4 linked regions of the Caenorhabditis elegans genome follow. The protein of the gene in region 1 interacts with the protein of each later gene in a pairwise test. Each region holds a gene or a part of one and is shown in the gene's direction. Other genes may lie near its edges.

Region 1 (8,409 bases):
TACACTCGGATGATGTTATCGGTGTATCCGGCGAAGAGGGTTTGTCCGTCTTGAGACCAGGCCAAAGAGATACACTGTGGGCTGGATCCTCTTGAGCTTCCAGAGCTGGCGATTTCTGGCTTGAGCTCCTCGATCTCCTTCTTGTCCTCGAGATCCCAGATCTTGATGGAAGATCCGACAGCGGCGCAGAGCCAGTATCTGTTTGGAGAGAAGGACATGGCGTTGATGACGTCGTTTCCTGGAAGGGTGTACAAGTGCTTGCCCTCGTTGAGGTCCCAAAGCATAGCTTGTCCGTCTTTGCCTCCGGAAGCACAGAGGGAACCATCTGGAGAGACGGTAACGGTGTTGACGTATCCGGTGTGACCGATGTGGTTGGTCTTCAGACGGCAGTTTCCGAGGTTCCAGACCTTGACAACCTTGTCCCATCCTGCGGAGACGATCACTGGATCGCGGTTCGATGGAGAGAAACGAACGGTGGAAACCCAATCGGTGTGGCAATCATCCTAAACAATAGTTTCGATAAATCTTCCTATAAAAGAATTTGAAAAAACGTACAGTGATGGTGTACTTGCACTGGGCAAGAGTGTTCCACAGCTTGATGGACTTGTCGCGGGATCCAGAGACGATTTGTCTGTTGTCAGCAGAGAAGGCAACAGAGAGAACATCCTTGGTGTGGGAGATGAATTGACGGGTGCTCACTCCCCTATAAAATTGTTTGCACAATGTTTTTTTATTGAATTACTTACTGGTTGAGGTCCCAGAGGCGGAGGGTCTTGTCCCAGGATCCAGAAAGAGCGAATTGTCCGTCGGAGGAGATGACAACGTCAGAGACGAAGTGGTTATGTCCAGTGAGCGAACGAACTGGGCGACCGATTGGTCCCTCATCGACTGGAGCAACGCTGTCGACATCCCAAACAAGGATAGTCTTGTCTGAAAAATGTGAGTATAAATTTGAAAACGTTATATTAATTGACTTACCGCGGGAAGATGACAGGACAGTGGTCTTGTCGTTGCGGGTGTAGGTGGCGATTTGGGTAACCCATCCGGTGTGACCCTCGAGGGTTCCGGTAAGCTTCATTTGCTCTTGGACCATTTTGCTATCTGTGTAACCCCGTTCGATCTGCTAAAAATAAAAATGTTCCATATAAAAAAATGAAAATTTTGGAGAATAGAGCGAACGAAAACCATAATTTTGTTCGAATTATGTTAAAAACATAGCCACTTTAATTATTAAATGTTGAAAATGTTGAAAAAATCATTGCTTTAACAGAAAAATACAGAAAAAAGGAAAAATCGTCCTAAAAATTCGCGTCAAACTAGCCAGCCAGCAGCAGAGGAGAAGGGGTGAGTCGCTGCGAGACCCCACAGCGAAAGTCTATGCGCCTTTAACCTGGCACTTTGCCAACTAACGAATTTACGGAACAAATTAACTTTTTCTTGTAAATTTGCATCTATGAAGCAGTTTTTGACACTTTTTTAAATTTACTTATTTATTTATTCAATTATTTATGTTTAGCTTTTATTGTGACAGTTGTTTTCGAGTTTAGCGAGCCATTTATTTGAGCCTTAAAATTAATATTTCTGAAAACTGGTTTGATTTCTTCGAAAAATTATTATTTTCTCATTTAAAAGCAAAAATACTTTAGTTTTTACATTAAAATCAATGTAATGTGGGTTTAGTTCTAATTATTCTCCATCCATTCAAATTCATCGTGTCGAGCTCGAATTTTAAAGTTTAACATTTCAGCATCCGGGGTTGCATGTGTGCAAGACATATTAAGATTACTGCATGAGATATTGCCAGAAAAATCTGACGAGACTAGTTCTTTGCGCATATCTATTGCTTTTTCGTGGAATTCCTGTCAGCTTAGTCATGCTTTTATGGGTTTCAAATTGACGAAGCGACAAAAATGTTGACTTCTTGTAGAAATTGGCCAATTGTCCGTGAAAACTTTGGTATGTGCTTGAAAATCTTCGAGTTGTTTCCTTATAATGTTTAATACCTTCTCATCTTAAATTTTACGTTGATATGCCAACATCACTATTTTAAAGTTTTTTTTTCATTCAAAAAAGTCATTTTTATTTTGAAGAATTTTTGAATACAATATATTTTCAATAATTCCCCATTTTTTAGCTGACTTTCAATACAACAACAGAACCTTGCAATAGCAATAACATCACAACAATTCCCATAATGAAAAATATTTTTTTGCTCCTAGACATTTTTTCGATATCTGTTTTTTTCCAATGGGAATGTCAACAATCAACTCTTTCCTGAGCCAATCTTCACTCGATTCTCTGTCTTCTCTGCAATCAGTGCAATCTTTAACCCAATCAACCTGCGTCTCAACTTTCCGTTCCTCTCTTATTTCTTCGCAGCACCTTCCGTTGTATTATTGATCGGTTCGCAGTGGTTTGGCGGTGCTTTTCCGCACCGTCCCTCGCCTTTTCCTCCTCCAATTTCTTGCCTCTACACAGACTGTCCGATTTATTTCTTGTCCTCTTCGCCTCTGTGTTGTTCCTAGTCACATTCCTCCAAATGCCCGTCCCTATGTGTGTGTGCGGCCGCCGCATTCACTATCCGCCCGTTTAATCGCCCCCCCCCCCCTCAGACTTTGATTCCCTTCTTCACAACTTTTGCATCCTTTTCTTTCCTGTGTCTAGTGCCCCTGATTGTTTATAATCAACCTCTGATAGTAATAGAGATTAGACGTTGTTATCGGCACACGACGACATCATTATCACTTTGTAATTCAATTGGTGGTAACTGACTGGATGGGACCCTTTTTTCAGTTGTAGATGATCAGAACAATCGAAACTTTCATAAAGACACTAATCGAGGCTAATTTTTGATTAAGAACGGGAGTGGCAGAAGTTATGCCTTCTAGCTGTACATTTTCACTACAAATGTCCTAGTTTTTCTTTTATATGTGACTCCCATTTTAACAATTAACAATTTTCAATTGGTATTGTCATGCGGTACTTCTAGATTGTTGCAAAAATTGTTAAATATCATCATTGTAAGGAGTAATCAGTTAGTTGATAGTGCCTTCGTGATTTTTTAGAAAAATTGTTGTATTCATGTACTTTTCGTCTCTTATATTCTCATATCTTCATTAATAATCTAAAAGTAATCTGCAAATCCTCTAACATCTCTTGGGGATGAATATATACATATTCTTCTACCTCTCTATTCACATAAATAAACACAAAAGAAGCATCCGAGCTCCTCCTTCTCCGCCCCATTCACCCCATTACATGCTGATTTATGAGATTATCTGAACGCTCGTCCTCTTTCGCTTACTCTCTCTTTGCCGTCTTAATCTGAATGGAAGACCACATGGCTTCTGTTCAACGAAAAAATTTACATTTTGTACTTTTTGCCTTACTATGGTTCCCGAAATTTTATTTTTTATATTTTTCCTTCGAAAAAACTAACAATCTAGATATTTTATATTTATAGGAGAATCAGATGGATCCTCGGAAACCTCGACAGGATCCAGTCAATGATGCTCGTTTTTACGAATCCCTCATTAAACCACCGCATTTAAGGACACCAGATGTAAGTTTTTTTCGGATTAAAATGTTTTCAAAACAAATCAATATTCCACTTTAAAATTATGTAATTAATTATTTTTTCAGGATATTCGAAATGTATACGAGCAATTGCGGCAGCTCGACACCTTCAGTAATTTGTTTATAGGTCCATTGAAAGCTCTCTGTAAAACTGCTCGATATGAAAGGCATCCAGCACAATATATTCTTTTTCGGTGAGTTTTTCTAAAATAAATTTTAAACTGATTCGGACTCTGTTCCCGGAAAACATAAATATCAAAGGGAAAAATTAAATACAATTCCCCTCAAAAAGATGTTTTTTTCATTGAAAAACTTAAAATTTTAAAATATGAAGAACATCTTATCTTTCTCATAGACTAAAATTCATATGAAATTTTTTTTTTCAAAATTTTCAAAACAAAAAAAGCGTTGTATTTGATATTTCGTAAATGTAATCAGAATTTTTTATTATTTTTAATTCGACAACATTTTTGATTCATACAGTTTGTAATGACTTAAAATATTTTTTTTCTAGATAATTCACGAAATTTTCAATAATCTACTAATAGAATTTAAAACACATTTTAAAGGTTTTTAAAAAAATAGCTTAAAATGTTGGTCTTTTTTAACTTTTAATATTTTTTAAAAATTTATATTGTTAATTTTTTGAACAATATTTTTCGATTTTCCGAAAATTAAAAAGTTTCGTTGATGGGTAATCAAAATGAGGAAACTAATAATTTTTGAAAGCGAAAAAAGTTTAATTTGAAAATCAGTACGGTTAATTCTTATTTTTACTTATAAATCTGAAAAAATAACATTTTCTGGAAAAACTAATAGAAATTGCCTGAAAATTTGATATTTCTCCACTCCCATAAAAAAATAATGAATTTGAAATTTCAGGGATGGAGATGTCGCACGAAGCTGGTACATTCTACTATCAGGATCAGTTTTTATTGAAAATCAAATCTACATGCCTTACGGGTGGTGAGTGATTTTTAAATATAAAGGGAAATAATTTCGCCAAAAAAATAATCAAAAATAAATTCAAAAAATGTAAAGGAAAGTACTGATAATCTCCATATTTAATTTTGCACGAAATGAATCAATTTCACTACTTTTAAATGAAAATTTGCAGTATTGATAAAATGAGTCATCATTAGTGTAGACACCAATCCGTACAATTCCCTATTCTTCGTTTTCTTATATGCTCATCTAATTTCCTTTTCCCATTCTCTCCGTGACAAGACGATTGAAATAATGACAATGATGCAGATACACACAAAAAAAAGAATTTCGTACTAGGTAATAAAAATGTGCTCAGACACGAGAACACCCGGTGTGTCCTCTTTGCGTGCTCATTTTCTATTCATTCGAAATAACCCATTTTATATGAAATGTTGAGAAAAATAGGAAGTGGGTTATTAGGGGGAAATGAGCTCTCTAGATGCTCACTCTTTTCGAATATTCTTTCATTTTATTCAATTTGTTCCTAGTTGTCCAGAAAATAGTAGAAACATCGAAACCTACACACATAATTTCATGTTCTCTGTAATCGAATCATATTTTATTTTAATTTAAATTATTCCTAACGATTTTGCAGATTTAATTTGCATAATTAGTTGATTGGGTAATTATTTTGACAATACTTCCTAGATAATTACAATATCAAATATATTAAAATTATGGTCATTTAAAAAATTTAAAAATAATTGAAACCCACTTATTGAAATTGAAATTAAGCAAAAATTTCCATTTCATCCGCTCATCTTGTTTCCCATTCAGGATCTGTCGATAAGAGATATTATCATAAATGATAGTCATATATTTTCTCATAATTGACACACTTTCCGTGATGTTCCTTCACTTTGTTTCAAACTTTCCATTCCTTACAATGTTAGGAAACATTTTGAATCAGGATTCAATAATGTTTTATGTAGCAATTAGAATACTAGTTGTTTTTGTTCTAATTTTAAATGTTTAGTACATTTTTGTTAAACTATTGCACTAACAGCTTCTTTATCGGGTAATATTCTCTTGGTATTTAGCTTAATTTGTCTTTATAGCAAAATGATGATGTGATTTTCAAAGAATGTTAAAACTTTTTCTTTAACTTTATTTCGCTGACACAACTATCAATCATCATGTGAGATTTTAAAGAAATGATGAACGACTGAGAAAAGAGCAAAGAAAAGCGCACAAGGGGGGAGACAGACTGTTTGCACTCGAAATCCTCTTGTTCTCTTCATTTCGTCTTCCCTCGGGAGTTCTTCTTTTTCTGTTATGTCCATTCCATGTGGTCAACACCCTTTTTCTTCTGTCTTTTTTGTTCTGCGACTTTTTTTTCGGATTCCCGTACTTTTTTACCCGAGATTTCTCATTCTCTTGTACAGGACATAATATCAAATTACTCATTTCCGTTACCCAAAAAAACAACAACACAAAAAAACAATAGGGGCATTTTTCTACGACGATTCTCAATTAAAAAGTGCTTTTTTTGCAGCTTTGGCAAGCGAACAGGACAAAATCATCGAAGGACTCATAATTGTCTGCTGTTACAAGAATCTGAAATGATTGTGGTATGATTTTTAATTTTTCATCAAAAGAAATGGTCGAAAAAGCTAAGTACTACGCCTTACCTTTTTTAGCAAAATATGCATCCGAAATTTTGTAAACTCTCGTTGTTTCGGAATTATCAACGTTTTTTCATCTTTCTTTTTCTCGCGATTTGTTAAAATCTGTGCGTTTTATGTTAATTCTTTTAAATAAAAAATTATCTTAAAAAATAAGAATTCCTCAGAAACGTGTTTGAAATTACTGTATCCTTAAAGGCGCAGACACACTTTTGATTTAACAAAAAGTTGTCGTGTCGAGACCGAGTATCACATTTTTGGTGCAACAATTGCAAAACTTTACGTATCGATAATAAACTCATTCAGTTATTTTATGTGAGAAATTGTGTATCTGGTTGTAGTACTTGGTAAATAGGAACATCTGTTCTGAGATATAGACGGAGTGAAATAGAGAGCATTAGAGCTCCAAAAATAGTTTTTTTTTTCTATTCGAGGCCGCGATTTCTCTACACATTGTTTCCCCATGCCCGATTATCTCCACTAATCATAATATATCCATCTTGTAAATTTATTGAAAAGTGCCTCAAAGAGCCCATTGAAGGGATTATTCGATTTCGTAAGAATCCTCACCATGCGTGTTGAGCGCGCCACGCTCTTTCTCCCTCTTCGGAACAAATTCGATTGACCCTCATCTCCTCTTCTCCGCTCTTTTCACATCTGTTGGGCACACTTAAATTCGTTCCGAATAAGTAAGTGTGACAACATTTTGGCAAGATGAAACATTGCATTTTTATATAAAGTTTTTGAGAAAATGTTTTTTTTTTCAGATTGACTATCCAACGGAACCCCAATCGAATGGAATGTCACCACGAACACCTCCTCGAGGAATTCATCATTCAGGAGAACCAGTTCATCAGAAAACTCCTAGAAAATCGGTAAGTTTTTGAAGGTATTGATAAATGATAAAATTTATAGATTCCTTCTTTCTGAAAGTGCCTCCCCATTACGATTGCGTGTCGTGAAGCCATGTTTCATTAGTTTTTCGTTCCTCTCTTTCTCTTTTTATCTAATTCCTGATTCTCGCTCATTTCTTCTCATTTTGTCTATTTCTGACTCGTTTTCAGTGATGTCGTGGTCTTATTTTCAATTTTGGTTTGCTTTTTTTTTTGCTCTGGTGTGTTGTTGATGGGGATTATTTGAAATCACCATCAACAAACACGGCAATGCGAAATTAGATTTTTATGTGTTGCAATGAGATTCATCCCGTGTTTTTTCTAAGCTTTTTCACCCTCACTGTCTTGTATTCCGGAGACCCAAACAAATATAAATGAAAAAAAAAACCACAAAAATTCATACACAATTTCAGGCACCAAATATGTCAGTTGATTCAATTGCAATGCCGCCACCTCCAGTTCCACCTCGTCCTCTACGTCTTCCACAAACTGCAGCTAAAGGCCCAGCTCCTCTGCCGCCACGTGGTTTACCTAGAACATATCCATTGGATTTTCCTGTAGATATTCCAACAACGTCATCATCATCATCAAACACTTCATATAATGATCAACATCGTAGTCAAGTATATTTGAATGGATTATCCGCTGATGAAGATACTCTTGTTCGAGTGAAGCATAGAAGAGAGAAAAGCAATTCAGTTGGAGGACAAGCCCAGAATGGAATTTCAACTGCTCGGAGGCTTCGAGGAAGAAGCACAGCATCATCTACAACTACTGAAGGTGAAACAGCTTCCAACGAAGGAGCAGATTCAGACGAAGATGAAGGGAGTATGCCTTCACAAGAATCAAGTAGTGGAGGATTCATGGATCTGCGAGATTCTGTCCGAGAATGTCTTGAAAAGGAACCTTCAGAACGAAATTCAGAAGATCTTGCAGTTTTACTCGATTTCATGCAACATATGTCCGCATTTGCCGCTTTGCCGATGTCAATAAAACGTCAGTTATGCTTGAAAATGGTTTTTGCGGTAGTAAACGATGCGGGTACGGTAGTTCTTGCTCACAACGAGAAACTCGATTCATGGTCTGTAATAGTGAATGGATGTGTAGAAGTTGTAAAACCATCTGGTGAGCGTGTTGAATACAAGCTCGGAGATTCATTTGGTGCAGAACCAACACCTGCAACACAAATTCATATCGGTGAAATGAGAACAATGGTGGATGATTGTGAATTCGTACTTGTTGAACATCGAGATTTTTGTTCAATTATGTCGACAATTGGTGATCATATTGAAAAAGATCGAGACGGTTTGACAGGAGAAGTTGTGTCA
Region 2 (7,818 bases), 6.3 Mb from region 1:
TTACTCCAATCCGAAATACTCATGAAAGTCTGCTACTTGGAATGGATATGGCTGAAAATCAGAAGGAAATCGCAAAGTTCTCACAGAGAGACGCGGGAAATTACCCAAAATACGAGCATTTCATATCAGAAATTGTGCATTCTTTTGAGCAACTTATGGATTATGAGCCACTGGATCTACAGAAACCAATTCACAAGCTTCTTCCGCACCTTTACCTGTTGTTCAAGACCGTACAGCCATTGGGGTTGCGGAATGCCGTAGACTTTTACGAATTGATGACAGCGCCGATCTCGAAAATTATGAACAAGTGGTTTGAGAGTGACGTGCTGAAGGCGACGTTGGGAACCGACGGTGTTATTGGATTGGCCGCGAGTCCAATGGATCCTGGAACCGGGTGAGTTATTTTCCGGTCTACAGCAGGAGGAGCTAGGTTTTTAGACACCAAACATCAGCTTCTCTTTGACAAACTCATAAGTTTCTCGAAATTTCTGGTGACAGATACGTCCTACTCCACCACGTCATTGGAGGACTTGATGAGCACAAAGGAGCCTGGGGCTACGTGTATGGTGGTATGGGCGCTGTATCCAACGCCATCGCCGAATGTGCCAAGAGCCATGGAGCCGAAATCTATACGGAGCAAGACGTTCAAGAGGTGCTTCTAGATGGAAACGTTGCTAAAGGAGTCCGTCTGTCAAATGGCAAGGAGCTCCATTCGAAGATTGTCATGTCGAATGCGACTCCTCATGTAACATTCAACCATCTTGTCAAGAAGGAGTCACTTCCAGAGGAGTTCCACCGAAACATCAATCAAATCGACTACACATCGCCGGTGACAAAAATCAATGTAGCTGTGAAGGAGCTTCCGAACTTCTTGGCCAAACCGAATCAAGGATCAGAGCCAATGCCACATCATCAGACGACGATTCATATGAACTGTGAGAATATGCAAGTGGTGCATGACGCGGTGATGGATTATAAGAACGGGAGATATAGTAGAAGGTTAGTTGGTTCAGAGGGGTTTTCATCGGTGGGCGGCAATTTGAAAATTGTTAAACCTATAATTTGTCTTGTATCTTTGTGGGTACGGTAGGTTGCGGTCCAAACTGCCGAATATTCTGAAGAATTTTCTGTAGATCAAACCGTAATAGGACATCCTAACACTACGTATAGGATTCGACTAGTCGCGGCCGTTTTCAGTGTCATAACATTTTCCCCCGTTTTCTTGAGCTAAAGTAAAAGTTTTGACAGGGAATTTGTAAAATTTAAACATTTTATTAACAATCCGAATGAAGACGTGGTGTCAGCATGTCCCATTACGGTTTGACCTACAAAAAATGCGGAAACTTTTCCCCAAAAAATGTGACGTCAGCACGTTTTTAAGCATGCGAAACAGTTGAGAAGACTGCATCTAAATTTGCGTACATCTACGTAGATCAAACCAACATGGCGCACTCTGACACTTCGTGAATAGACACAGTTCCTTTTCTGATCAAATAAATATTTTAAATTCGATGAATGATTCAGGATTTCTGACAATTTGTAAAACCCCTTTTAGAATTCATGATACCATCATTCTCGCCATAAACTTCAATTCAAAAGTTTGCAGACCAGTCATCGAGATGACAATTCCCTCTTCAGTCGACCGAACCATTGTGGATAGTGCTGATGGTCACGTCGTCCTCCTCTTTACCCAGTACACTCCCTTCTCACCGAAAGACGGTGAATGGACGGAAGAAAAGAAGACAGAATACGCGAAACACGTCTTCTCGGAGATAGACGCTTATGCACCGAACTTTTCATCAAGTGTCATAGGCTATGACATCTTGACCCCACCCGATATTCAGAACACTTTTGGGATTACTGGAGGGGTAGGTCCCATTTTTAAGGCTCAATTTTCAAAATTTGCTTCAGAACATCTTCCACGGATCTATGAGCCTTGACCAGCTGTACGTGTCCCGCCCGATCAGCAAATGGAGCAACTACTCAACGCCCATCGAGTCCCTCTACCTCTGCGGAAGTGGTGCTCACCCGGGAGGTGGTGTGACTGGAGCCCCCGGTCGGTTGAGCGCACTTCATGCCCTCAAACATTTCTAACGTTCTAAGTCTCTTCTCGCGGTTTTTTATTGTTTTGTTTGTCTTGCGCCAGTGACTCATAAAAACATTTCCAACACCATGATGTATTGCAAAATGTGTGTTTCGAAACTGCTGAGGAGACGACGAGGAAGTGATCTTTTGATTCACGATTTAGTTGCGGTGACCTTTGATTTTTGAGTGATTTGGTGGAATTAGAAATGTTAAGCGGGAAATCTTCAGAAAATTATAGAAATTTTCAAAAATGTTCGTAAAAGTTTGGGAAATAATTTCAGATTTTTAAAAAGAATTTACGTATGTATTTTTCTTTGGATTTTAAAATTAATTCTTCAAAAAATAGTTGAAATTTCTATTTAAAAAAAAAAAGAAAAACTATATCCAATTTATGTTCATACCTGAAAAAAAGCAAACATTTGTAATTTGGTATATTGAAAACTGTCAAGCTTTTCTATTTTTCAGGTTAAAAATCAATTTTCCACAGATTTGTCTTGAAATTTTCAAAAAAAAAGCTGTGGTTCTGTAGTTTGTGAAATTCGTATTTTTATTGAGTAGTCTAGTGTGATTTGTGCTCCCAGTTTTACAGCTCCTTCCGCAGGATCTTTTTTCGCCAACACAGCAAGTACGAAAACTCATCGCCACTTGGTCAAAGGTTGAACTCGTCTCAGTTTCGAAAAAAAAACCGAGAGAAACTCATCGGAACACAACAGAATGCCGCCCATCGCTTGATTTTGACCTTTTTCTTGTGTTGTCTGCTGCCTCTTGTGAAGAGATAGAGAGACAGCGAAAGAAATGCCAAAAACTCGTATAAAAGAGCGGCCAAAACGCCACAATTTGTTAGTTGTTGAGAGGAGTGTTTCCCTCAAATCTCTATGGAGATTTTTTTTTCGGGTTTCCCATGGTTTTCTGATCGTTTGAGCTTTGCTTTCCGCTTTTTCTCTTACATTTTTACTTTTTTAAGGCTTTTTCAAAACTAGAAAACTTCTCGAAATAACATACGAAAAATAAGATTGCGAAATACGTGAAATATCGTATTTTACTCAAAAAAAATTATTGGGAATTCGATTTTTTTTTTCATTTTATTTCAAATACATTTTCTGCCAAAATCGCAGTTTCCTATATTTTTGGTGAGTTCCGGGGAAAAATAGCTTCAAAGCTTTATTTCCATTTATAAATAGCTCTAGTTTGCAAATTTTTTGTCTAAAACGAGCGAAAGTAATGACATTTTTCAATTTTTTTTTTTCGAAAAAGTTCGGATATTATTGCGAAACTTGAAATTTCGGGAATTTTATCATGAAACAATTTTTTAAATTTGTAATTTGTAGTATTTCACAGTATTCTAGCAACATTTAAAAAATGTGCGAAATTTGAAAATTACGTGATTTTTTTTGTTGGAAAATATCAATTTCTGTATTTTCTAATTAGATTTTTCAGTGTTTTGCAAGATGAAATTTTAATTCAAAAAATCGTAGTTAATTTTGAACATTTTTGATCTACGTAAAAATGAACACTTTCAATTTCTGTTTGTTTCTTTTTTGTGTTGGGAGAAATTCGGAAGTTGCTTGTGTTTTTTTTTTGTTGAAAAAAAAATAGAAAATAGTCAGTTTTGTAGAATTTTATTTGTTAAACTCTCGTCTTAGCCTCACTTTTTCAAATTTTCCCTTGAAATTTACCTCAAAATTTCCAGAAAAAATGGCTCACATCGTGCAAACTCACAAGCTCACCCTCCATGACGTCGCCATCGACCAGGCTCTCGTCTACAGCTCCGACTCGAACTGCGCTGAGCTCAAGAGAACTTTCCAGGTCGAGTTGGCTCATGGCTACAATGAGGTTAAAGTTCAGGTGAGTGAAGGGCTATAAAATACGAGAAAAAATAATTTTTTTTTGCATTTTTTACTGCTAAGCAAACAAAACCATCGAAATTTCCAATATTTACCTTACCTGTCAAAGTTAAAGTCATAAAAACACTCACACAATGTGATAAAAAAATTTTCAGAACCTCCCATTCGACCTCGTCCAGGACTCGATCCGTGTTTCCGGAGCCGGCGAAGCTGTGATCCACGACGTCTCCGTCAAGAACCAGGAGGGTGCCGAGTTTGTGATCCCGGAGCGGGTTCTCGCAATTAAGGCGATCTTCGAGGAAAAGGAACGCGCCAAGGACAAGGTTGCCGATAGCCGAGTTGCCGTACAGAAGCGCATCGAGGGACTTGACAATCTGATCACCGAAGTCGCCAAGCACGGAAAGGACGGCGCCTTCCATTTTGACGGGCGCACAATTGAAAGTCTCAACGCCCTCCACGGATTCCATCAAGACACAACAGTGGATCTTCGCGCTCAGATCCGAACCCTGGATCAAGACCTGCGAAAGGCCGAGGAAGAGTACGCCCGTGCTAGCCAAGACTACGACAATACCGGATACAGATGGAGAAACTCTGCTCAGTATGCCAGTATTATTGTTGAGTCAGAAGCCGGTGGTGCTGCACAGCTCACCATCACCTACCAAGTGAACAACGTCTCCTGGACCCCGTTCTACGACATCCGCGTCACTGCTGGTGTTGAAGCTGAGATGCACGTCACCTACTTCGGAAAGGTCCGTCAGTACAGTGGAGAAGACTGGAAGACAGTGCCATTGGTGTTGTCAACCGCAAGACCCGCTCACGGAGTTAAGCAACTTCCGAAGCTCGGAGCCCTCGAGGCATCGATTGTTGTGCCCGAACCAGAATGTAACAGAGGTGGAAGAGGAGGTTATGGAGGTGGTTACGCTCAGGATTCAGTGGTGATGGCCTGCGCGGCTCCGATGATGGAAATGGGTAGAAGTAGAAAATCCATGAAAATGTCCTATGCGGCTGTGAAGTCCAGCAACATTGCCTCCGAGTTCAGCATTGGCCGCCCCGCCACCATCGACGATCGCACCGACGAGTACAAGGTGAACATCGGACAATTCACACTCGACACCAAGCTCTCCAACGTTACCGTCCCATCCCGTAACGCCACCGCGTTCCTCGTCGCCAACTCGGTCAACACCTCCGACTACCCACTCGTCGCCGGTCAGGCATCGATCTTCCTCGACGGAGCATTCGTCAACAAGACCGAGTTCGAAGATGCGGTCGTATCGCAAAAGTTTGAGGTGTCGTTGGGCGTCGACCCGAACATCCGCATCGAGTACAAGCCTGTCAGAAACTACCAGGAACAGAGCGGAACCGTCGAGAAGATCAACTCTCAGGTCACCGAGAAGACCACTGCCGTCACTAATCTTCGCCCCAACTCGGTGCTTCTCACCATTCGCGAGCAGTTGCCAAGATCCACAGATTCTAGAATTAAGGTAAAGATTGAATACATAAAAAGCCCCTAAATTTCCCATTTTTCAGGTCCACCTCAACACCCCAGAAGCCGTGGAAGTCGACGAGGCAAGCGTCGAGCCAACCGTCGGAGCCGCCATCACTCCGGAGAAGATTCTCGACTACACCGTCCAACTTGCGCCAGGACAGTCCAGCACTTTCGTCGTCAAGTACACTACCGAGCACCCACAGGCTGAGCAAATTCGCTATGAGGAGAAGTTCTGAAGTGCTTATGCGATGATTTTTCCGCTTTAACTTGATCTGTATAATTTATAAATAATTCCTTTAATGTCGCCAAATATGTAAAATAAATGTGTAATTTCAGAATTTATTGATTTCTTTGAGACACACAGAATGGATTGAAATGATGGAATTGACCCGTTTTGAGCAACAAATGGAATTGGAATTTAGAAAAAAGAACAAAAAAAATCACACGATATGATAACCCTTATCTTCTGGATTGCTGGTTGGAGGTCTTGCATCTTTTTTGTCACAGCTCTTTGCTCGGCTCAATCGACGGCGCAGAGATCTAGCGCGTTTCTGCAAAGGGTTTATGGAAATTTCTGGAACAAGGTTCGATGCACCATGTGATTTAAGAGCTTTTTTGCATTTGTCAAAAAGTTTTCAATTGGCGAAATAATTAAAACACGTTTTCTTAACTTTGCAATATGTAAATTGGTAATAATTTTAAAAGTAAACGAGGTTTGTCAACTCACTGCAATTTTCTGCACTGGCTGATAGCCGGTGGTGTTGGAGTTCCAATAATGACAAATCATGACAGCGGTCAAGATGAAGCACACTCCAAGAGCAACTGATGCCAAAAGCATGAAACCGGATAACCCGTTGCCGATTGCCGTGCGGACTTTCATTTTTGAGTAGTGGTCGAGCCAGATGCCTGAGAAAAAAATTAATTGAAATCCCATACCTCGGTTAATTTTAAAGGAACAGTGTATAAAGTTAGCTAATAATTTTTATAAAACCAAAGATGAAGTTTTCGTTGCACCATGTTTGCCTGATTTTGAGAGTTGATATCTCAGTTCTTTTTGGTTTTATCCAAAAGTTATTGACAAACAACTTGTTGTATCAGTTTCTATGTTCAACAATGCACCATGAAGAAAAATGACATTGTTTTAGTTTTACTCAACTTTAATGGATATCAAAAAAGTATAACTTTGTTGAAAAATTTCTGAACAACTTTCAATCTGATCGAGATATAAGCCATTCGGCAAAAAACTCTCTTACCTGTAGTAATCACAGCTAGCAGACTTCCGACAGCCGACATGATACAAAAAACGAGCCACAAGATTAGCATGGTCCTCCACCGATATCTATGCACAGCGCCCAATCCCATGGCTCCGGTGAGCAAGCTGACAATTGCTGATACCGTATTCATATGGCACGTGGATTGGTATTCGGCTTCTGTCGGGTAGCCGGGGCATGTGGTGCCATGAGCCAAAAAGATGAGCGAGATGAGGATCTCCGCGCGGCACAGGTGCACCATTATTTGGGCGTATCTAAAAAAAAGAACTTTAGGCATGGTGCATCGGCATAAAATCGGTTTTAAAAAATTTCGCGAGCCCACACCTTCATTTTGAAGCTATCAACTAATTTTCTACTGTAAAAGAAGAAACATATAATAAACTATGTTTTTCATTTGACATTATTTGATTGAAAACATGGTGCATCGACAAAAAATCCTTTTAAAAAGTTGTGACCTATTTAAGATGAGTCCTAAGTTTTCTACCCAGCAACCGACATTTCGTGGGTACCCGTAGAATGTCGTCTGCTACATTAACCTACTCGGTATGCTGAAATCCTGCCTTCTGCATTACTGTATAAGCCTTATAACGCCGTCGTTCGTTTGATGAGAACTCCTCTTCTTCTTCAGAAGTCTGCAAATATTTATTTTAAATTAAAAATACATATTTTATAGGTTCGAAGCTACAGTTTCAAACGCAAAATTGCGACAAAAAAGAGACAAGTATTCGGATATACTGCCTCGGGGAGGCAGGTAGGAGAATCCCATGTGACTACTCCAATGTGGCCTTGTTTTGTGATTGGAATCGATAGATTACATGTATGGAACAGTTTCCGGGAGAAAGTATAACTTTTGCTATTAGGATTTCACTGTTCTCACTATTAGTTGAACGTATTTGCAACATTAAACCTGATCCTATCACTAGCGCGCGTTTGCAACACCAAAATTGAAGTTATAATTGGAGCATGTTTGCAATTGAGTCTTTAAAAAGTTTGTCAATATTAGAGCGCGTTTGATGTTTTAACAAGAGTTATCATTAGAGCGCATTTTAAATTAAAATTGAAAATTTGTCAACATTGTGTCAATGCATCTTGACCACAAAAAAAATTTATTACAAGAAAGTTATCATTAGAG
Region 3 (6,563 bases), on another chromosome or scaffold:
TATTAAAGTCGCAAAAACCTGGAAAGTGGGCGTAAAGAATTAATTTCTTCGTTTTGGAACATTTTTTTGAATGAAAATATTGAAATTATGAACGAAAATATGGAAAATATATCGAAAAACAAACTGGAAAATCACAAAAAAAGGTTTGCGCGTCAATTCAGGTGCATTGTGTGCAATGTGAACTTTTTTGCTTACTGTAGTTTGGCAAGATTTTTTAATGATTTTATCGACTTTTGCGATTATATCGATTCTTCTCGTCGAAATTCTTCCTGAAAAAACCCAATTTTTAACTAAAATTCAAATTTAAAAACTCAATTCATTCATTTAAAATTTTATTTCACAAAAAGATAAGAAACCGATCATCAAAAAACACTGAAAAAAAGAAAACCTAGTAAAATCGTCGGAAGTATTATATTTTTAGTTGTCGTAAATTAAAAATAAGGAATCATTCAACAAAAAAAGTTAAAAAGAAGAAAGAATGGAACATCAATGAAGAGCCAGCGATTTACGGAAAAGAGCATGAACCACAGATGGATCCATTTCATCCAAATCTCCAGCCAATGCCGCTTTGATCTCCTCCAACGTATTGATTTTTGCGAGACAAGACGCCTGAATAATTAGATTTTCAGACGTTTTTCGAGATTTTTTTCGGATTTTTGCTACCTTCAAATTCTCCAGCTGATACTTCTTGGCGACTTTAAGCTTCTCCTTCGTGGATTTTTCAGATGAATCGACAAGAAATTCCTCACATCTTTTAATCGGAAACGGCATATCGTACAAGTGAGCCAAGTGCAGAATTCCGTCCACTGTTTCCTCTGAAATTTTTAAAATTCTAATTTTTGCGGATTTATTTTATAAAAATATTTCGAATTTCTCACCATCAATAGCATATTCTCCATACCGAACTTCCATGAGATTCTGAAAATCGGTGGAATTGATGTCCTGGAGTTTGACTTCTGATTTGTCAGCTTCTGCAAAATTTCCGAGCAGCAGAGTCTCGAAATATGTAGAGTGGGAAGCCAGGAACTGAAAAAAAAATCAATAATTGATTGATAAAAAAATTGAGAACATACTTTTCGGAGAACGAAGAACTTTTTATCTCCAACTGCCAAAATCACATCTGAAAATTCTTCATTCGATCTCTCGAAGCTTTTGAGCTTTTTCTTCGGAATTCCAGACATATTCTTGATTTTAACAGCAACTTCAATGATGATGACGTCATCGATTAGATAATCCTTCAGCAATGAGTCCCACTCGAAAACATCGCAAAATCCAAGTGCATCATATGAATTCCAAATGTCACTTCCGGTTTTTGTCACAGATTTTCCCGAAGAATTAGAGAGTTTCAAGGTAAATTCAGAGTCGATTTTCCAGGGAGCTTGCTCATTTTTTGGGTGCAGATACCGGAGAAATACAGCCACGTCTTCTTTTTGGTGAATGAGAACTATTCGCCTGCAATATTAAACGTAAGAGTGAAATTACAATTCATTTTCTAGCTTGCCATTGAACATTGAAATGTTCTTCTTCAGGACCATAAAAAGTATTTCCATCTTCCAGCTTCGACACATCTTTGAAAACATGGGAGAGCTCAAATTCTCTTTTGACAGCGACCATTTCCCAATGTGCCGCTGAAAATAATTATTTTTGAATTTTCTGCAAAAAATACGATGAACTACGTTTAAATGCGAAGAAAAAACAACAACAAAACCCCAAAAAACTAATTGCGCGTCAATTAATGTGCATTGTGTGCAATGTGAACTTTTTCGCTTACCGTAGTTTGGAAATTTTTGTTCTTCGATTTATTGATTTTTTCGAAACTCTTGCCCATATTTACTTGTTTTTTCTCATTTTTTATCGAAATTTAAATGAAACAAATTAGTTTAAGTGCTATATTTTTTTTATTCAACAGAATAAGTTCAAAACTTCCCGAAGATCAAATTTCTGTGGATTGTTACTCTTTTTTCACTGTTTTTTGTTGCAATACTCTCAATAAATTCAACTTTTCCAGCTAAAACCATGCTGCTCTCCGTCAAAACGTCGACTGGAAAAACCATCACAGTGGAGGCGCCGAAAAATGTGAAAACTGAAGTTCGCGACAAACAGGGAGTCGTTTTCACAGTCTCTTACGGTATTTATCGATTTTTTTTTTGGTTTTTATTTCAATATATGTTTATTTTTTCAGGAGAAGTAACCGGAGATCCAATCACTGTTGAAGCATCGGACGCCATCAAGGATCTTAATTTCAAGGTTGCCGAGGCTCAGCGAAAACCGCATCGTGAAGGAATGCGAATTTACGTTAAAACTTGTGAAAAAACGATCACTCTTGACACTGCTGCCTCCGATACCATTGCAAGTGTTAAGGCTAAAATCTAGGAAAAACGAGGTTTTCCATCAAATCTGCAGAAACTATATTTGGGTTAGTACTTTGAAACTGATAGCTTGTCTAATTTCTTTAGTTTTTACAGAACCTTCCAACATTGTTTTGTGCAAGGATCAACGTACTATTTCTGACTACAACATCAAAAACGGCAGTACTCTCCGTTTGGAAGTTCCTGTAAAAGAAAAACTGACGGTTTCTGTGAAAACCTTATTCGGAAAGACGATTCCTATTTCAATCAAGAATACGGATACTGTTGAGACATTGAAGTTCAAGGTTCAGAATAAACACGGTGTTCCACCAGATCAGCAGCGTCTCATTTTCGGTCGGGCACAGCTCGAGAATGACCGTGCTCTGTTCGCCTATAACATTCGTGATGAGGATATTATCCATTTAGTCTCCAGACATCGGTTGTGAAGTTCTCAATTTGATTGCTCTTAATCTGTTGTTTTGTTACTTTTTTGTTTTTTATTGTTGATAAATGTTGAAGGTTTTTTTTTTAATTTTTAAATTAAAAACACTGTCTCAAAATATTACAGGTACCATATTTATGATATATGAGGGTTTTTTTCCAGTAAATTCTTCTGTGTTCTGAATTTCCGACTTAAACATTTTATTTCGATGGTTCAGAAAATTGGTTTTTCAGGTTTTTGGATACTTCAGGCTGATATTTTGAAATACTCGAATTTAATTCAATTTAGCATTATTCAACCCGCTAGAATTTCTGTTGGCACATGTTTCTTCAATTAGAATTTCTATTATTTAAAAAACCACAAAGAATTTAATAAAAAATCAGCGAAACTACGGTAGACGAGGAAGTAGGCAGTTGCACACGATACACATTAAATAATTGACTTTTCCGTTTTTCTTGATTCAGTACTCGAAATGTTTTCATCGAAAACTTAGAAAAAAGTTTTTTAATATAAATGAAATTTCAATAAAATTTGCGCGTCAATTAAAGTGTTCTTTGTGCATTGTGAACTTTTTTTGCTTACCGTAGTTTTGCAATATTTGTTTTTCGATTTATTGACTTTTTCAACGCAATTCTTCTTTATAGCTTGCTTTTTGCCCGTAATTCATCAAAATCTTGATAATAATATTTATTAATTCATTCTATTCATATTTTTAAGAAAAATCATTTCGAAATTATCCAAAAACCAGATTTCTCCCTTGTTTGCTTCTTTTTTCACCGTTGTCCTCGTTTTTCTGTTGCAAAACTCTCAATAATATTTAATTTATAAATTTTTCCAGCTAAAATCATGCTGCTCTCCATCAAAACGTCGACTGGAAAAAACATCACAGTGGAAGCGCCGAAAAGTGTGAAAACTGAAGTTCGCGACAAACAGGGAGTCGTTTTCACTGTCTCTTACGGTATTTATTGTTTTTTTCTGGGTTTTGCATTAAAAAAATCATTTTCAGACAAAGGTACCGGAAATCAAATCATTGAAATGGAGGACACTGTCCAAGATGTCAAAATTCAAGAGGCTCAGCAAGCACCGCTTCGTGAATCAGAAGAAGTGACCGAAGATCCCATCAGTGTCGAATCATCGGAGGTCATCGGAAATCTGAATGTCAAGGTTGCCGAGACTCAGCAAGAACTGCATCATGAAGGAATCCGAATTTACGTTGAGAACGCTGGAAGAACATGCACACTTGACACTTCCGCCTCCGATACCATGGCAAGTGTCAAGGCTAAAATTTGGGAAAAACTAAGAATCCTCCCAAATACGCAAAAACTATTATTGGGTTTGTACTTTAAATATTGAAAGATATGTCTAATTTCTTTAATTTTTACAGAAAACTGGGACCTAGATTTGTTTAGCGATCATAGCACTCTTTTTGACAACAGTTTCGAAAACGGCAGTACTCTTCGTTTGGAAGTTTCTATAGAAAAAGAAATTGACGTTTTTGTGAAAACCTATACCGGAAAGACAATCACCATTTCAATCTAGAATACGGATACTGTTGAGACCTTGAAGCTCAAGATTCAGGATAAGGAAGGTATTCCACCAGATCAACAGCGTCTTATTTATCAAGGATCGCAGCTCGAGGATGACCGTACTTTGATTGCCTATAACATCTATAATGAGGCTACTCTCCGTTTAATTCTCAGACTTCGTGGATGAAGTTCTCAATTTGAATATTGTTAATTTGTTACTTGTTATTTTGTTACTGTTCTGTTTATTTTTGTTGATGAATGTTGAAAAAGTTTAGATTTTTTTGAAATTAAAAATATGGTTTTTAAACAGCCGGTATATTTCTTTGTGTTCTGAATTTCCAACGTAAAGAATCTTTTTCAGTGATTCAGAAAGTGTGCTTTTCAGGTTTTTCGTTAATTTCTGTATTTCTCTATCATAGAATACATTTCAACTCACAAGAATTTTCGTTAAAAACCACAAAAAAATTAATAAAAAATCGGCAAAACTATGGTAGACGAGAAAGTACGCTGTTGCGCACAATGCATGTTAATTGACGCGCAAACAGTTTTTTGTAATATTTTTTTCCTGTTTTGCTTGATTCAGTACTTGAAATGTTTCTTTTCAAATATTATAATAGTTTTTTTTAAAATTTTCTGCAAAAAATGCTGAAATTCTAATAAAACCAAAAAAAAACTCAAAAAACGGCATGCGCGTCAATTCATGCGCATTGTGTTCATTGTGAACTTTTACGCTTACCGTAGTTTGTCGAGATTTGTTTTTCGATTTATTGATTTTTTCGAAACTCTTGCCCATATTAACTTGCTCTTTCTCGCTATTTATCGAAATTTGAATGAAAAAAATTAATTTAGGTGCATTATCATTTTTTATTTAACAAAATAAGTTCAACAACTACTGAAAATCCAATTTCTGTCGATTGTTATTCTTTTTTCACTATTTTTGTCAAATTAAAAAGTTCTTTCTGCGTCTTTTTTGTTTAAATGCTCTCAATTAGGTTTAATCTATCAACTTTTTCAGATAAAATCATGCTGCTCTCCATCAAAACGTCGACTGGAAAGACCATCACAGTGGAAGCGCCGAAAAGTGTGAAAACTGAAGTTCGCTACAAACAGGGAGTCGTTTTTGCAGTCTCTTACGGTATTTATCGTTTTTTTTTCCTGGTTTTTGCATTAAAAATAATAATTTTCAGACAAAGATGCCGGAAATCAAATCATTGAAATGGAGGACACTGTCCAAGATGTCAAAATTCAAGAGGCTCAGCAAGCACCGCTTCGTGAATCAGAAGAAGTGACCGGAGATCCCATCAAAGTCGAAGCATCGGACACCAACAGAAATGAAGAAAACCCCGATTTGGCTGGGCCACCCGCGGAGCCAGTTATTCGTGGCACTGCCGCCTCCGGTAGAATTGTAAATGTTAGGCTTGCGGGAAAAAGAATCGTCCAACCGAATAGGCGTTTCACATCATATTTGCCTTCGTCCGCCGTGAGACGTGGTTGGTTTTACAATTGATTATTTGTCTAATTTACCCATAATATTTTTTTTTCAGTAGCATCGCCCTATCAGATTCGGCGGGTTTCAGTCGATGGAAATTTCAACGTTTTTGTGAAAAACTCAACCGGAGGAAAGACTACCGCTGTTTCAATCAAGAATACGGATACAATTGGTACCTTGAAGCTCAAGGTTCAGGAGAAGGAAGGCATTCCACCAAATCAGCAGCGTCTTCTCTTCAAGGGATCGGAGCTTATGGATTATCGTACTGTGGCGCATTGTGGACTTCGTCAAGGCACAAGTCTCGATCTTGTTAGACTTGATGCATGAAATTTTTCGATCGATACTCTTTAATTTTTTAAACTGTATTTGTTTTATTCCTGTTTTGTTTCTTTAATGAACGCTTAATAATTTTTTTAGACGTAAAAATCTATTTTCAGTGATTCAGGCAGATGGGTTTTTAGGTTTTTCTCTAGAATATTCTTTTATTCGCAAGGATTTACTCGAAACTGCTCCAATAAATAAGTTTTTCCAGAAAATCCACTAAAAATTTAGCTTCTTCAGTTCCAAGCGATATCTGAGTGATCCACTGCGAATTTTGTACAGATTTTTGTCGAAATTAGAAAGAAATTTATTAAATTGAGTTTTCCATGCTTTTTTTCCAAGAAAATCGAGTTTTTGCAGCGAATTTTCATTAAAATTTCGATAAAATCAATTAAAAATCGTGCAAACTACGGTAGGCGATGAAGTACGCAATGCAC
Region 4 (8,323 bases), on another chromosome or scaffold:
TTTTAAGTGTTTCAACAACTATACGTAAAGATATAATAAAGGTTTTGATAATAATTTAACTTGTTTTGCAAGAAAGCAAGAAAATCAAAAACTGACTAATAGAACAATAAGGGTTGTAAGACTATTCAAAACACGGAGTAAATAAGGTTTATAATAATAATAATTTAATGACTATCCTAAAAAATGTTCTAAAATTTTTAGAGTGAAAACAATTTTTTTTGTTAATCCTATTTGTTTAATCATGAATCTAATTAAAAAAAACGCTAGGTTGAAGGTAAAAGAAAACATATATCAAACTGTTCATTCAAGCTTTTGACAATAAAATCATATTATGAACGAAACTCTTCGAAACTTTCTCGCGTAGTTACAAACTCCGTCGACGCAATAAACTTTTCTGAATCCATTTGAAAACTGCTCACAATCCAAAAGTGTCTCACACTGAGCTTTTCTGTTCCTTTTACGGCAAGCATCCACTGGAACAGTGAAAAGCGAAAATAGAACAATAGAGAGTAGAAGAAGATTGAATTGGAACCGCATATTGAATACAAATGGAGGTGTATCTGTGTTTTATGTGGGCGGAAATGTGGAAAAAACTAAAAAAAAACTTATGATTATAATTGAATTACGGTTCGAGAAGCAATACTGTTATGGGAACGGAAATCGAATTGAGGCAAATCGTTGCAAAGTGTATAGTTTTCCATTTGTTTCAAAGTTGTGTCATGTGATTACGGTAAAAATAATTTATGGAACCTAAGAATTTGAAAACAGAATCTACTGGAATTATTTTATTGTTGGAGGTTTACCCGAAGAGATTCTCCACAAATTTTGCTCTTTAACACAAATTGTTTTAAAAGTTGACTCTTTTTCAATTTTTCAAATCATGTAAAAACGTTTGAGGAAAAAACAAACCAATTGATCCTTTTTTGCTTCTATTCACAAACATTCAAAAGTCGTCTTTATTTTGTTTGTTATTGCGTGCCATTTCTCCACCAAATGTCCGTTTTTCTTTGCAAACGCCGTTCCAACAACTCTTTTCCAAATCCGTCAACTTTATAACCAGCTGGCAACTCTTTGAGCACTATTTTCCTTTTTTTTTGAATGAAAGTGTGAGTACGCACACGGGGCCTCTCATCAGCTGCTTTTCGTTTTCTAAAACCACTCGTTTGGGACTTCTAGGAACCCCTTCAATTCCCTTCTTTTTGGTTCTTTTCTCCAAATTTCTTCGCTCATTTTTGAAAGTGTTTGGAATCAGAAAAATAGAAGTGTGGAGATCTCTAAAGCCATACTTCTAAAAACCAAAAAGCCGGAAATTGGAAACGTTTCTCACGGCGACGTTGATGAACGAGTGAAGAAAAGTGAGAAAGGGAGATGGTTGGTTCCACAGAAAAGGAGATCATATCTATCTAGATTTGTTCTCGAATGCCAGTTAAACACGCTTTGACGGCGGAGGAAAGTTATTTGAAGGTCTCGTTGACTTTACTTTTCTTAATTTAATCTAATCTATGCAATTTCTCTAGGATAACTGCCAAAAATAATTTTCATGTGAATATTTCATTTATGTAAAAACACTTTTGTTTGAGTTTGACTTTCTTATTGCTATTTTGACTTCCTGTAAAACTTGCTGAATATAAAATTGCAGCAGGTTGACTATAAATTTTGATACTGTAAAAAAGTTTTCTTCCATTGACTCATATACATTCTATGAACGTTATTATTTTCAAACATAAAATCCTTACAATCTCAAAGTATTTTCCACACAAAATTTTAAACCAAAAGTATTTCAAGAGAAATACAAGAAATTCGGTAAGTTTTTAAAAGTGTCGCTAGTTCTCTAGAGATTGAACAAAATGCGTACGGTTCAAAATTTTTTCAAAATTGATTAAGCGAATTAGTTTTCCTATTTAGTTTAAATGGTTATATTTTGAAATTTTAATATGTTTTAGAATTTCAAAAAACTGTTTGCATAATTTCCGCATAAAATCATAGTTTCTCGACAAACGTTTTGTGAAGATTATCAACGATGGACGTTTATGTTTTTCACAATATCTTCTCACAACTTATTCTCAAAATCCATATTTGTTTTTTGCATTCTATACAAAATAAAATATGCCCATCAAACTCGAAACTAGCCTAAAAATGACTGAGATCCGAGAGGCGGGTGAAAAAAGTTTTTTTTTTTTAAGTTACGAACTTTAACCATAATAGTAGTGTTATTTGTCTTGGTTTTTTTTCAAAGCTACGAGAGTCACAATAGAAGATCGGCGTAATTTGTCTCAGAGAAAATTACAAGACGACATGTTGAAGATAGATGAGCTGATCAATGAAATCAGCACTAATCAGCTGGCTATTCTCTATCTTATAGCTTGTTCTTTCTATGCGGCCTGCGTCTCTTCAAATCCCTGCGGGTCGAATGTCACAATTCACCATCTCCTTTTCTCTTTCTTGCTCCATGTGCTTCTTTCTGTCCCCAGACTGGACCTTCTTGTGCTCTCCCACCCACACCGCCATCTTCCTTTCTCTCTTTGCCCCATCCTCGACTATCTGTATCTTCTTCGTTCTCACTTTTTATACTCGAGACTCTGTGGAAAAAGACACAGAAGACACACCAATGGCGTCAAAAATCTTTTTTTTTAGTTTCCCTCTGCCGGACACGATGCACATAGTTTCGGTGCGATTCTCTCAAGAGGATCCCCCATAATTATTTGTCACTCTAAATCTCAAGCTCTCTCATCCAGTTTTCATTCCCAATCTATCCATCTCCCTGTCACACTGAACTAGTGGAATGAATGTCAATATCATCAATCTGGACCACTGTTTTCATCTGTCTCGTTCAATTTTTTATCCCCGGGAAAAGCTATTATTTAGTGCTTCATTCCGTGTGTCTTGAGCTCATGGATACTTTGAAGACCTCATCTTTTTTGATTGAACAAACGTGACAAGACAATTTTATGAATTCTTAGAGAGTGTGTGTAATTTTAATTGCTTGCAGCATGCTTGACAGCTGCACTTACTGTTTTCCTTGAAATACGCAAACTTTCACTGATATGCCTAATTTTAGAAGTGTATTTTTGAAATTCAAAGGAAAAACTTAAAATTTACTTTCAAAATCTTTAAAGTAGCTGTTTTTATCAATCTAGAAAATGTCACTACAGATAAAAATATTGTATTGATATGTGGAGTCTTTTAATTGTGCTTTTCGTGAGTCAATAATTAAGATTGCATTTTTAATTTGGCAACAATTTAGAAATTTGTTATCTGGCAAATATGTTCTATGATACCGTAACTTTCTCAGATAACTTTAAGATTATTTTTTTGTCCATAACCTCTGTTCTCAACTTTAAGACATACAGTACCCCTTATACACAGCTCCCTTTTTTTGTTATTTTGAATTTTCTCTTCAACTATTCCCATTTTTGTCGGTCTTTTTCCAATTTACCCCAAAAAGTCCATCTCATCAAAAGCGCTTCAAGTCTTTTAGTTCTTATCCCCCATTCCTCTTTAAGCTCTTGAAACACAAAAAACAATTGCAGAAGAAAAGAAAAAAAGCAATTAACTAAGAAAGTGCACTCATCACAACTCTTCTTCTCGGTTCTTTTTCTGTCTCAATTATTCACGCAACAACGCTTACATGAAGTAGCAGTTTTTCGAGTGATTCTGACATTTCTATTCATTTGTTTCAAGTTTATGATTATTTTTAGATCCAAGTTTTGAGCAGATCCCGGAATCCTAGCATTCATCATTCAAAATGAAAACCACGAGATTTCAAAACAACTTTTTTCATTTCACCTACTCATAAATTCCATTCCGATTCAGTTATTGCTTTATTTTCAGAAATTTGGATTCTCATTTTCTTATTTTCGCTTTCGTTGGAAATAATATTCCCAAAAAATTTTCAGCCTTCATCTAGTGGCTCGAGTATCAAATGTCCAAGTCGGTGTCGATACCACAGGCACTGTCCGACTTGAAAAGGACATCCTTGAGACGGTTGAGCAGTGCACGTGGTGTTGGAAATAAGAAGACCGTTGTGAGCACTTCGACGCCGTTGAGTGGTTTTGTAATTTTGGTTGAACGAGAAGAGAAGGTTGTTCGGCTGTACGGTAAGTAAAAGATAATTTTATTTGACTAATTTATAAAAACATTTTGAAGTATTTTTATTGAAATAATTTGCAATTTTGATGAATTTTTACTGAAATTTTGTCAACGAACATTTGTACTAATGCGATTCTCCAAATCGTTGATGGCATCGGCAAAGTGGGCGTTTTTTTAACCTATATCGCAATTTTTTTCGCTTTTTTCAAGGTGTCTGGAAATCAGATATAAAGTGCTTTACAAATTTTATGCAGACTTCTGAAAAAATAATCGATTTCCATTACAGGAACTGCTGCGGAAAGAGCAGGATTGAGCATTGGAGATGAAATCGTTGGGGTAAATGACATGAAAATAGAAGGAAAAAGTTATGAGGAAGTCACAACTTATATTCAAGAAGTTTGATAAAATTTATGATACTTTCTTGCAAAATTTCAAATTTCAGTGTATTCGTCGAAAAATCATTCAGCTGAAAGTTAGACGTCGTGCATTAGAAATTCCAGCAGAAAATGAAGCTTCTGTTTTTAACTGTGAGTAAAAAAAAGTTTATACTTTTTCCTTTTTAATACTTAGTTTTTGTTTAATTTCAGGCACAAATTCGAATCGTATGATAACGGATGCATATCTAGTTTCCGTGGATAAGGATCATATCAAGGAAGTTACTAAACGGCTGAAAAAGTGAGTAATCTTTTTTTGAGAGAGATTTTCTTCTCTGCGATACTATCTGTGAGAAGCGGAACGTGTAAAGAACGGAAAGAAGAGTTCTTAAGTGCTCTCTATTTATGGTATATGCATAAACAGTGAATATATGACAAATAGTGCAAATACCACTAAGATTTGGTTTTTGGCAAATCAATGTTCTTGAAAAGTTCTCATATTTATTTCATTTCACTTAAAAAATTCATCTCTCTTCATTTTCTTTAAAATCTTTGTTGTTCACTCGTCGACCTGCTTTCTAGAAATTAATTAATGGCCTCGAAACTTTCTGACGGGCAGGGAAACACAAAAACACTGAGATTATGAATGTGAGCTAATTTGGAATTCTCGTTCGTCCAGTCTTCACAACTATATAGGTCACATTCTAGTATTTCACACAGTTAGTCGGCACGTCTAGTATGTCACAAACCAATAATCTGTCAAGGTGAAGACAAAAAATGGAGAAAAAAAAAGAGAAAAAACGGAGAGTTCCGTCGTCAAATATATCAATAAATCTAGTGATTAATCAGTCAACCTGGCGATTCTTTTTTATGTCTCCCTGATATTCTATTTCACAGTCAGTGGCATTTTCAAGTAATAGAACCTCCCATTGCGCTTATCACACTCATTCTCTCTTTCTCATTCCTTTTTTCTTATTCTTTCATCAACTTTTTAAATGTTTCTGTCTCATTACACTATTTATCAAAAAACTATCATCACTCAAATTCTGTGTTCTCTTCGTTTCGAAGGTTGTCTGACTTGTGATAATTGCAGGTTGTTAGGGTTTCAGAACGTTACAGTTCTTTATTACAATTTACTACGCTTTTGAGATTTTTTGTATGTTCACAGTTAGCTAAACTCTTGCCTAGCTTTGGAATAACATGTTACTTTCAATTTATTGATTCTTGTATGTTTTGAAAAGCAATGACTTTTAGCACCCTTTTAGCACGACTGAAACTATCAGAAAAAGATTTTATACAGCTGCAGCTAAAATTTCAACACACTTTTTCAAAGGAAATGTTCTGCAAAACTTTAATTCAATCGTCAAAAATTGAATAAGGAGCAACGACTGCCGTTCTCTCAAATTACAAAGAGTCACAGAATTTTATTTTCGGGGGAATACCTTTCCAAAAATGGGTGAAAGGTCATAACGAATACATCAAACTCCAACACATTAGACACACATTGTTATTTATTGACATAAACCATTTATTGCTTTCCATTCGTCTCCTCACTTTTCCTTGTCGACAATTGTCAATTGCACCGTTCTTTCCAAACCCAAAAATTTAACAAATAATTATTGAATCCGTTTACACTTTCTTTTTTTCCATTCAACCCTAACCGTTCCTCTTTTTGTCATCATTGTGCAAATTTCATGCATCATAAATTTTTGAGGACGGTACGGTTTTTGTGTAGTTGTGGATCGGTTAACTGTTTGGTGATGGACACAGTTATCGCGACTTTAACAAAATTTTGCTTTTATATTTGTTATCAAGTGGCAAATTATTTTAAGTTATCATTATCAGTGGAGCAGAAGATATTTTATTACTTTTCTAATGTTTCGAAAATTTCAAGGAGTATAGGAATAATTTGCAATTTTTGGAAATATATTGGGTTCGAATTCTAGAAATTAGTCTGTATAATTTAAATATTGTTGATTCAAAAATTATTTTTTCAGCTACTATATGTAATATTCATTTTTAGAACCTTTCATTTTCTTAGTGTTTTGCTACTTTCCCGATATGTCTCATCATTGCTTAAAAATATTTATACATCATAGCCACCACCTTCTAAATCGTGGTTTTCATAAATATGTATTTGTATACATCTTTTCCCCAATAGGAAGGGATGCGCAAACGGGACCTCAAATGTAAAGCTGGTGATGAGCAAACATAAAAGTAGAAGAAGCGCGCACGAAAGATGATGAAGATGCAATACGGACTGTGTGTGAACAACTACAATACCGTCTATTGTTTCGACCCTCACTCACTCTCACCTTCCTCTTTTCCCTCAACCTGCACCACTTTGTATACAATTGTCATGAAGAGAGTCAGGCTGAATGGGGAATTATTCTAGGACTAGATTTGGTTGATGTTGGGTGACCAGCATGGTTTTCCACATTTTCATCTTCATAATGATTTTTGGAAGAGAAAATCAAAACCAACATTATGATCGAATGTTCTTCAAATTGTTTTGGTAACACCTCTTACCACACTTCGTAATAATAATAAGTACGTGTCAAGTTGTTTAGTCACAAAACCGAGTATGTCAATTTTTCAATCCAAACTGCAAACATTCAGTTTTGATTTTTTACAAAGTCTGGGTTCTCCTCAAATTTTACTTTTAAACTTTTTGATTTTCAAAAAATTGAAACTCAACTACATTTTTTTTTTTCTTATTAGACCACTCTTTTGAAAATGAATTGAGCCTCTAATTAGATTCACTCCATAAGTGGAATGCATTCAATAAATATAACTTGGGATTTAACAATTTATATTTCGTTTGGTTTAAAATACGTCAGCTCTTGTTGGAAAAATGAGACTTTACTTTTTTGTATTTTATTCCAATAAACATGTTAGTGAGAAGCACTCCGATACAAAAACTAATTTATTGATCTCTTTTGAAATCTGAGAACATTCGAACTTTAGCGAACGGGAAAAATGGTGTGGAGCAAATATTTAGGTTTTGGATTTTTTGTTGTTTTTTAGATGTCAGATTATATAATAGCTTTTGGTATCTTTTACATATATTTGCAACTTGCTGTTCAATTTAAAAACAGATCGTTGGGACATTATATTTAAATATACACCCGTACTAATATCAAACTATAGATTTTTTAGACTGAAGTTTGAGAAAATATCTAACGTATTCTTAATTAGAACCTATGTAGTCATATATCCTCTGTCATACCTCATTAATAATCCGCATCCTTTACCTCACCTATCCACAGAGTATATAACCTTGTCTAATTAGACTCCCCAATCCCCTTTTCCCGCTCTTTGCCTGCCATATCGTGAAACGCCCTGATTGTCAGGATAATTGGCATACATATATGCACGGGCACTCTTTTTCTCTACCTCCTCTTCACCTTTATTGACAATACAATGTGCAAAAAGGTCACAATACCGAGGTATAATACTCTCTTTTTGACAGTCGATGTATTTATTTCATTTTCACATTTTCACCAAAAATATTGAAAATAACCAGTTGGATAGAAAAGAGATACATACAAAATAGAGAAAATACACACATAATCCCATCTCTTTTCATTTTCCCTTATTCTTTCGTTTTTTACTTCCGTTGGTGGGTTTCGTGGTGGTGGGTGCGTTTTTTTTTCCGTGCCTTTCCACCCATCGTTCCATCCCATCATTCCACCGACCCATCATTCCGACACGAACACATCATCATTCATTGTTATTGTCATCCTTTTCATATATACCTGGACCTATTCCCCCATCAAATATAGATCAAATCCATCATCTCTGCCCGACAAAGCTTGTACCAAAAAAGGAGAAAAAGCAGGTGTCGTCAATAGGCTTCA

What was found.
Region 2: the proteins of pxf-1 (region 1) and F37C4.5 interact in a two-hybrid assay, tested with the Caenorhabditis elegans proteins (one large-scale study listed by BioGRID).
Region 3: the proteins of pxf-1 (region 1) and F52C6.3 interact in a two-hybrid assay, tested with the Caenorhabditis elegans proteins (one large-scale study listed by BioGRID).
Region 4: the proteins of pxf-1 (region 1) and magu-2 interact in a two-hybrid assay, tested with the Caenorhabditis elegans proteins (one large-scale study listed by BioGRID).

Annotation. Positions count from the first base shown.
Region 1 is NC_003282.8:10,169,394-10,177,802, reverse strand, and holds the start of pxf-1 (Rap guanine nucleotide exchange factor), read left to right. Parts: upstream 1-3,461; 5' UTR 3,462-3,472; coding exon 3,473-3,562; intron 3,563-3,642; coding exon 3,643-3,770; intron 3,771-4,458; coding exon 4,459-4,542; intron 4,543-6,058; coding exon 6,059-6,134; intron 6,135-6,955; coding exon 6,956-7,063; intron 7,064-7,494; coding exon 7,495-8,409. Other genes in the region: rack-1 (Small ribosomal subunit protein RACK1), read right to left, coding at 1-503, 556-703, 747-930, 979-1,093. UniProt on the Caenorhabditis elegans protein: Acts as a guanine nucleotide exchange factor for small G protein GTPases like rap-1 and rap-2. Required in the hypodermis, especially in the seam cells, for proper formation of the cuticle.
Region 2 is NC_003282.8:3,869,764-3,877,581, reverse strand, and holds F37C4.5 (Protein F37C4.5), read left to right. Parts: upstream 1-3,775; 5' UTR 3,776-3,780; coding exon 3,781-3,930; intron 3,931-4,084; coding exon 4,085-5,410; intron 5,411-5,456; coding exon 5,457-5,651; 3' UTR 5,652-5,751; downstream 5,752-7,818. Other genes in the region: F37C4.6 (Pyridine nucleotide-disulfide oxidoreductase domain-containing protein 2), read left to right, coding at 1-394, 499-999, 1,607-1,868, 1,912-2,094; F37C4.4 (Transmembrane protein 196), read right to left, coding at 5,856-5,966, 6,143-6,321, 6,669-6,940, 7,227-7,318.
Region 3 is NC_003280.10:1,921,131-1,927,693, forward strand, and holds F52C6.3 (Ubiquitin-like domain-containing protein), read left to right. Parts: upstream 1-3,628; 5' UTR 3,629-3,636; coding exon 3,637-3,748; intron 3,749-3,796; coding exon 3,797-4,123; intron 4,124-4,174; coding exon 4,175-4,329; 3' UTR 4,330-4,590; downstream 4,591-6,563. Other genes in the region: bath-2 (BTB domain-containing protein), read right to left, coding at 487-609, 664-815, 879-1,026, 1,074-1,452, 1,502-1,614; F52C6.4 (Ubiquitin-like domain-containing protein), read left to right, coding at 2,017-2,128, 2,183-2,373; F52C6.2 (Ubiquitin-like domain-containing protein), read left to right, coding at 5,340-5,451, 5,504-5,806, 5,861-6,132.
Region 4 is NC_003283.11:8,796,596-8,804,918, reverse strand, and holds the start of magu-2 (MAGUK p55 subfamily member 5), read left to right. Parts: upstream 1-3,890; 5' UTR 3,891-3,922; coding exon 3,923-4,097; intron 4,098-4,375; coding exon 4,376-4,485; intron 4,486-4,531; coding exon 4,532-4,616; intron 4,617-4,676; coding exon 4,677-4,764; intron 4,765-7,990; exon of another isoform or gene 7,991-8,289; intron 8,290-8,323.